Regions from separate parts of the Mus musculus genome. Here region 2 is reported to be linked to region 1. The links are microRNA targets in miRTarBase. Many come from high-throughput screens and were not tested one by one. Region 1 holds a microRNA gene; the other region holds the end of a gene's coding sequence.
The links. Region 1 holds the annotated microRNA mmu-miR-703 (AAAACCUUCAGAAGGAAAGAA, at 1,866-1,886, opposite strand). A microRNA usually pairs through its seed, bases 2 to 8, with sites in the 3' UTR of a target mRNA and lowers its output. Matches are read on the target gene's strand: a 7mer-m8 pairs with bases 2 to 8, a 7mer-A1 pairs with bases 2 to 7 and ends in A, and an 8mer does both.

Region 2: the mRNA of Zbtb14 is a reported target of mmu-miR-703. Seed matches in the 3' UTR shown: 7mer-m8 at 3,089-3,095 and 7mer-m8 at 2,452-2,458.

Annotation. Positions count from the first base shown.
Region 1 is chr5:98,473,751-98,478,155 of GRCm38, forward strand. It overlaps Mir703 (microRNA 703), which reads right to left and starts at 1,914; the gene lies at 1,806-1,914. All of the region lies in intron 2 of Cfap299 (cilia and flagella associated protein 299), which reads left to right.
Region 2 is chr17:69,388,198-69,392,602 of GRCm38, reverse strand. Zbtb14 (zinc finger and BTB domain containing 14) reads right to left here. Exons shown (of 3, transcript NM_009547.3): 3 at 1,851-4,405. The coding sequence ends at 3,945. Among named protein-coding and RNA genes, the nearest start is that of Gm49894, 6.2 kb to the right of the region's middle.

The DNA of each region.
Region 1 (4,405 bases):
ATTACCAAATATAGAAACAACATTGCACTGCAGAATTAACTAGGTTTTTTTTCCCCCATGGAGTGCATTTTATATGTATGGCACCTCCAATGATAAAGCTAAGATTTCTTCTTATGTCTTATGCTTGTAGTTTGCATATGGGTAATATAGGTGACCATTAATATTTTCAAATTATTTATTTGATTAAGATAAAAATAATCTTTATCATTCAAGGAAGTATCTAGATACAAATAGGCAAAGAATAGAAACTAGGTTTCTTTCCTTATCCAGCATAAGAAGTAATTCTGTATGGAGTGTCATTTAGTAAATAGTACTATGCATCACTGTTTTAAGTCAGAAATACAGCTCTACTTAACTGAGTTTACATGCATATTCAGAAATTTAATAGACCCTAATTTTACCAAAGAGAAGAGAGCCCTAGAATGGAAATTTCCTGTAGATACTTGATGCCCCAGGGAAGGGGGATGCCTGGAGTAGATCACCCACTCAGAGATGAAAGGGAGGAGGATGGGGGAAAGAACTCTGTGAGGGGGGACAGGGAGGGGGGTACAACATTTGAGATGTAAATAAATAAATAAATAAATAAATGAATAAATAAATAAATAATAAAAATTTTCACTATTCATATTATTTTCTATAAAGCAAACATGGAAAAAAAAAGAAAAATATTCCTTCTGTGGTCCTGATCTTTAAATATTTTCATGGTACAGATGTGACTGTGTATCTTACTCTGACCAAGCCAGATGAAATTCTCAACTGGAATAGCAGAGCTGTAATGTCCTTTATTGGAAATCAGTGGTTCATTTTATTATCTAGATTTCTTCTGAGACATCACCTAAGTATTTGAATGGCACAGAATATTTTAAAAGCTGTAGAAACAAGAGACATTAATGAAACCAGGAAATACTTTGTTAATATGAAGGCAACTTTCCAGAGAGTTAAACAAAACTTGAACAAATTTACTATTGAACCCAGTAGTTATAAAGTATATATATGTATAGCTAGCTATGATGGATAGGGCCATGTCTAAAATTAGAAGTTGATTGAAATAAAATGTAACCTTCCATTTTCTCCTCATTACATGTGAAGAGAATTTATTTGGTCAGCCATAAGAAAAAATAAGTTTATAACTGAAAATATAATTTATTATATATAATTAAACATCTGGTTTTTGTTATATTTCTCTGCAATACATATCTGAGTCTTAAAAGCCTATTTAAAAGCCTCATTGTTATATAATTCAGGACCTCCGAAGGGGCTACCTAGTGTCATCTGAGGTAGCTTCAGCTGTGGCTAGAGATACACTTCAAAGATGGAGCCTTCATTCACATTATAGGTGACTAACTTCTCTGACTAGTGGCCGGTCTGTCTCTCTCTTCATATGACAACTCATTCACTTGAGCTTTTCTATGTGGTGTGAAGTTTTCATAGCATGGTAAGTTCAATATGGTTGCCTTTGTTATATGTGTGAGCAGAAAAAAAAATCATGACCAGTATTTTTTCCTGTATTTCACTGTGGGACATTATCAGATTCAAGGAGGTGGAGGGGGAAGGATATGTTTCATGACGCCTCTACTGTCATTATCATGGTTCATAAATCACAAATCTAAAGAGTGCTTATTTACTGAGAAGCAGCGTTTATCATAGCAAATAAATGGAATGAGCCCAATCAGTTATCAGTAATGAAGAGAGGAAATGATGGTTTTCTAAGGACGGAGTCTTTTTTTTTTTTTTCTCATTAAACTTGTTTTAATGGTCTCAAATTCTGTGACAGATTTTTGGTCAAGTTGTTTCCATTAAAAAGTACTGATTTTGAAAACTAATAACTTAAAACTGCCACACACAAAAAAAAATGGTCCACAACATTCTTTCCTTCTGAAGGTTTTATGATGCATTGTTATCATTAACCAGTCTTTTACTTTTATTAAACTTAAATGGCCAATTGAGACAAACAGTTCTGAGGGACGGAGTCTTAAGCAGCTGAAGGAGGTGGTGGAGGAATCTCCTAGCAAGAGCAAGTTAGGTCACACAGTATTCCCTTGAAGAAATTATTGGACCTGTGGTCCTTTCCTCTTTCTTCTGTACATCCTGGCCATTGTGAGGTAAACCTATTTTTGTCTGCCACATGACTCCAATCATCATATATGATGTTACCACAGGCCAGTGGTGCCTCAACCATGAGAACCATCAGTGGGGCCATTCAACTCTGAGTGACATCAGTGAAACTTTCCAATGATGAGACGCATCAATGGATCCTCCCAACAACTAAGGAGATATTATTGGAGTCACTAGATGGATGGAACCAGTATAGTAAAACCATCAGACTATAAGAAGCGTCTTTTGAAACCAGAGGCCAAAAGAAACTCCTCCACCTTTTCAGTGAATTATCTTCAATGTTTCGTTCCAGTAGTGAAAAGCTGCCTCATACCTTTTCCAGCCTAAAGAGCTTTAAAACAGTCTCTGACCACTCGCTACAGTATGTACCCTAAGGCAAAAAGATCTGCAAAAAAATCGAACACTGTTTTCAATAAGTACATTATTCTCTTTGGAAACATTAGTAGTTTTATTTTGAGATATTTGTGGTAAATCATTGAGTTGCTCTGTTGTTATCTGTGGACTTTAGGACTTTGATACTTAGGAAAGGAGTCTGTGGTTGTCATGAGGGGGCATCTCACATGGAGAGTACAGCTGCTCCCTTAGCCCATCAGATCCTGAAACCCACAGTGTGTTTGCAGGGAGGCCACATCTTCCACAGGTTTCTGTGTCTAGTGGCTGGGTGTAATGGGATGTTCTATTACCTTTTGGGGGGGAACACCTACTCCTTATTGTCTGTGTTTGGATGAAGGTCTCCTACGTGACTTTGCTGAAGATTCTGTGGCACGTTGCCACCTCTGTCTTTATCTGTCTCTTTCCCTCCTTTTTGCTTTGTTGAGACATGGGCTCATGGTGAAGTCTTGAACTAAGTTCTTGCCACAGGCTTCCAGCTGGGTGATGACAAGCATTTGACACTGTGCCCAGTTCTGCTTCTCTGATATCTTACTCCATGACTTGGAGGAAGATGCCAGGTTTACGTCCCAATGCTGCAATTTTAATTTTTAAGAAAATTTTCTATTTTTATGTTTTATCACCATATATTAATTTTATAAAATGATGGGTTTGTTGTGACATTTTCACAATGTGTACAATGTTCTCTGATCACTCTTACCCCTTAGCCAGTGCTCTTTTCATTCCTTATCGTTCTTGATGTTCCATTGTCTGAAAATAATTTTTATTAAAGTAACAGATTTAAAGAACATCATAGAGTAAGGTTTTGTTTTAAAAACAGTGTTAGAATGTATTATATATAAAATGAATGTCATGGCAATTTTTAATATATATACATAATGTTCTTTGATCACTCTCTTTCCTAGTCTTGTTAACCCCTTACCTCTTCCCAACTAACCAGCCTTCTAAGTTTATATCTTTTTGCCTTTCATTTGTGACCTATTAAGCTTAATTAGCACAGTTTATAGGAGCGTAGGAACCTTTCCAGTTGATATACTATTGAAGAAAATGTCTCTCCTTCCCCCATTAATTGCAGTAGGGGCCACATCCCTGAAACTCTCCCTTTCTCCATCGCACAGCTGAAGGACCCAATCTTTTGCAGGCAATCACAGCTGCTGTGGGTTGATTGCAGTTCTCCCCCAGATCCACAGAGCCTTCACACTCCCGCTTGGGTGTCTCAGTGAAGAGAAACAGCTGTGTAGCCTGCACGGTAACACTCCTCGTCTCCCGTGTGTCTTGCCGTCGGCTGTTTCTCTGAGATGTCAGTAGTTGCCATGTTCATTTGATCATGCCTTCACTGAAAGGCATAGGAAAGAGAGACATTCTTTTCTTCCCAGAGGAAAATAGATTCCTTTTATTTATTACCAATAAATGAATCTAAAAATTACTAGGGTACAGAATTCATGATTTCTGGAAGCTAGGTGGAGGTCACAGTACATATTATAACAGTTCTGATACAACTCTTAAATAACATTATTAAAGTTCCTGAATAGAACAGCAATGGCTTGTGCTGTAAGATTGAGAATCGATAAATGGGACCTCATAAAGTTGCAAAGCTTCTGCAAGGCAAAAGACAAGACAAAAAGACCACCAACAGATTGGGAAAGGATCTTTACCTATCCTAAATCAGATAGGGGACTAATATATATAAAGAACTCAAGAAGGTGGACTCCATAAAATCAAATAACCCCATTAAAAAAATGGGGCTCAGAGCTGAACAAAGAATTCTCACCTGAGGAATACCGAATGGCAGAGAAGCACCTGAAAAACTGTTCACCATCCTTAATCATCAGGGAAATGCAAATCAAAACAACCCTAAGATTCCACCTCACACCAGTCAGAATGGCAAAGATCAAAAATT
Region 2 (4,405 bases), not on the chromosome of region 1:
AGCATCTTGCACATTTGGATGATACATACTATCTTCACAGGTGTAGAATTCTGTGAGCATGCATAGGTGAGGCCTTTGTTCCTGGACAGTAGGAAGCCGGTCAGTCCCACTCCTGCTGGGTTCTCAGTACCTAGCCCAATGCCTAGCTCAGTAAATAGCAGACATTCAGCCAGTATTGTTAATGGACACTAATCGGACTCCACATAAAGTGTCCTCCTGGAAGGTTATTGATAACATCCTCGAAAGAAAGCAAGCAGTAACTCCAGACTAAAGTCAAAATTCGGGGGTGGTAGTCTTAACCCCTTCAGTGAAGAAACAGCAGATATTCTTGGAATTTATGTAAACCAGGACAGATAATACTGAGTGTAGTCTAAAACACATTCACTTTGGGAAAGGTTTATATAAAAATATTGTCTAAATGGATAACTTCATGTGTGGCTCTCAGAATTGCAATTCTGCCTGTGTTGTTATGTCCCCTGAGTAGATTTGGAAGCCAACCACATCAGGGTGTATGTATACACTTGACTACACGCCAATGACCTACTTAAAAATGGGCAAATGAGGTGTGATTATGAAACCAAAGAAAATTCTAGAATGAGTATGTAAGCTGTGAATGGACAGCTTATAAATGCCAATTAAACAGAACTTTCTTAAGACATTCTCAGTTGTGAACACTTTAAAAAGACGTGTCAGGCTACAATGCAGAGCCAGCAATTATAGAATTGACAGGTGTGGGGAGCGGGGGCGGGGGCATCTTGTTTCTGTATCCACTGAGAACATCCCTGATATGGTGCAGTTTGCTAGCACATCCTTAGTTCCAACCCTAAGGATGCAGAGGCAGGCATATATTGGAGTTTGAGGTGAGCCAAGTTACCGACTGATAACATGTCCAAAATGAACCAGTACAACAGGAACTACTCATGGTGAACCCAAAAAGCAGGATACTGGGCTCAGTGTTGTGTTAATTTTCATGTTAAGCAATGAGGAAAAAGGCCACATTTTTACCTGAAAGGTGAAGAAACTTTCTAAACTCACACTCAGGGCAGTTCAAAAGGTGCTTCAATTTGTGTGTATCCGTCAGCACATAAGCAAGCGCTTCGCCTCTGTACCATATCCCTAGTGTCAAGTCATTTGGTCAGGGTGGTCTCGAACTCACTCTTTAGCCAGTCAGGCTGTCAACCTGTGATCTTGCCTCAGCCTCCTGAGGGGCTGGGTTGATAGGCCTGTGCACCGGGGATGCTTAATTTTCTTGGCTGATTTTACAGTTACATGAAATTCCTTACAATTCCTTGCATTTATCATCTAAACCAATGCTAATATGAGGGGGTCAACACAATGTTTGTGGACACAGATAGTGTACAGGAAGAAGTATTGAAGTATTGATGGAAAGATAGCCTATGCTTAGAATTCCTTTCTTTCTTTTTTATTTATTTATTTATTTATTTATTTATTTATTTATTTATTTTTGAGACAGGGTTTCTCTGTATAGCCCTGGCTGTCCTGGAACTCACTTTGTAGAGCAGGCTGGCCTCGAAATCAGAAATCTGCCTGCCTCTGCCTCCCAAATGCTGGGATTAAAGCTGTGCGCCACCACTGCCCGGCTTAGAATTCCTTTCTGCTCACACTGCAGATTGGGGGCCAGCGCATCTCAGCAGGAACTCGCCATGCCTCTGCGGGTGGGTCCCTCCTACCTTAGGGATGACTAGAGTTAGCTGGATGTAGAGAGGCACTGTTCCTGTTCAGGGCCAAGGAAAGTAATTTTAAGAGTCCACCACCACTAAAAATAAAAACAGGTACTCCCATAAGAACCCAGAACCCATGGTAGAAGTTATAACACAAATACAAAAAGGTTCAAACACTAAACATGTAATACGAAGTATTCAGAATTCTACTTTGTTTTCTCAGATTGGGACACAATGACATGATTACCTGTCCACAAGGCTTTTTATAGGGACTGATTTTAGATCAGGAGTGTGACCCTCTATGAAACCATGACTATGGTAGCGTATAGATCTGGACATTAACAACAGTGGTATAAAGAATGATCAAGAACAAGAGGAGTGTATCATTATCTTTATATACAAAAACAAAGGCCCAAAATATGGTTTGTTGAAGTAGTTATCAACAGGATGCCAGCTGATTTCACATTTGCTTTGGTTAACACAGCCTAGGATCACCAGTCCGGCCCCTCCTACTAACTGCACAGACGAACTGATGGGATTGCCTTCAAAACAGAAAAAAAAACACTCAGGAAAGATTAATTTAAGCTGAAACATTTTAACGATAAATAAAGAAAAAAATTTAAAGGTAGCCTCCCCTCCATCCTACAATCTCTGGCACAACATGGACACCGGTTTTAAAAATAAAATTTTTCTCACGACAGTAATAACAGATGTTAGTACAGCAGGCCATGTAACGAAATTACTTTAATGCATTTTTTTTTTAAAAAGAAAACCTTAAGAACCAAACATGAGCTTTTAAAGTTGGCACCTTCTACAACTGTACACATCCTAAAACAACTGTCTACACTTTCCTACAGAACATAATTCAAACTCTGTGGGCATTTCAATATATCCTTAAGGAAATAGTCAAAGGAGCGTTTTAGTACACCCAATCTGAAACAAAGTTCATAATTCCGATTTATGGCTATGACAGGGCAATCAGCTTCTATTGAAAACTGCAACCAGTGATAAGACATATTTGGAAAACATAAACATTTGGTCTGATAGTCTTTAATATTGGTTAAAGGGGTCTGATATGTGTTGCCAATGAAAGGTACTTTAATCCACTGTATAAAAAAAATAAAAAGGAAAGAAAAAAAATGCAGCTGTCCCTTTTCTCGAAATACATAAGACCAACAATACTATTTACACACGTGAAGGGTTTCAGACGTATTTAAGGAAGCATCTGCTCCAAGGGAAATTGAGTGCTGCAGAGATGCAGAGACCCCGAGGCCTGACCATCTGTAAACTACAAAAACGCATTTGAAGAAACATTGCTGCTGCTTGTCCTAATTTTGATCTTAAATACAAAACCATTTCTGAAATCAGTCACGATTTCAAGACCTAGGGGTTTTTTGTATCTGTGAAAACCTTGTGTCAGACTCTTCTCCTGTCGATGCTGGTCCATTGCACGGACACACACAGACAGCATGGCCACACTGAATGAAAGGGAAACTGAGTCCCAACACCACCAGCATCCTGGTGGTCTCACTCATCCTGAGGTATACATGACCTGCAGCATTTGGGGTGGGTACAGGGGCCATTGTAATGGATGAAGGAACACTTCAGCAAAGCAACCATTATTTGTCCAAGGAACAGTGAGAAACAATGATATATATATATAGAGAGAGAGATTTAAAAATCACAAACCAAATATAAAACTAAAACCATTCCATTTTTCCAAATTTGGTTTTGTACTTCTGCAGTGTTCTGGGTCAGCGCGTGCCAACATTTTCTGCATCCATATAAAGGTCTTGTATCCAGTTATTAAAACTGCTGTTTTGACATAAGTCACATATACTGGGACTAGGAAATCAATTTATTCCATGACTCTGTGCAGTGCACTCACCAGCTTGGCAAGAGTTGAGGAATTAAGAATGAAACAGAAGCCACTCATTTTAAACCAGACAAAGGAGATTTCAAATTAAAACCATAAAGAAGGGTAGGGGAGCTTACTGGGAATATGAATACTAGACAACACACACACGCACACGCACACGCACACACAAACCAAAAGATAAAAAAAGCAAACTGTTTGGTCAGAACGTAGGAACATAACTGCCTTGAGAAATTTGAGAATCACCTAACCGGAGTGCGCACTGTCTTAGGTCCAGCCAGCACAACGCTGTAAATTGCCACAAAGCGGTCAAAGGTGTTCACTGACTACAGCCAATGCAATCTTAGCATCCACCTCCCAGGCCCAGTGTTCCTAACCCATCACCTCTAGCTACAGGCAATTGTCTCCAGCTGCTGCTCAGCCTCAGCGGCCATGGCTGCGGCCTGCAACTGTTCTGTCTCACTCTGGATGGCACTGGGGGTGACCTGTTTCCTCTCACTGTGCATATTGTTCTCATGCCTCTTCAGGTCTGAGGCCTTGGCGAAGGCCTTGGTGCAGGAGCCACACACAAAAGGCTTTTCCCCTCTGTGTCTTCTCTCGTGGTCCTTGAGGTGAGACTTGTGTTTGAAGGCTTTGTCACACATGTGACACGCAAATGGTCTTTCGTTGCTGTGAACCCTCTCGTGCTTCTTCAGGTCTGGGGCGCGGATGAATGACTTTCCGCACACCTCGCAGCTGTAGGGTTTGTACCCTGTATGGATTTTTAGGTGTTCTTTCAGGTGGGCCTGGGTGGTGAAACCTTTTGTGCACATCTCACAGACAAACGGCCTGTCAGCGGTGTGGAGCT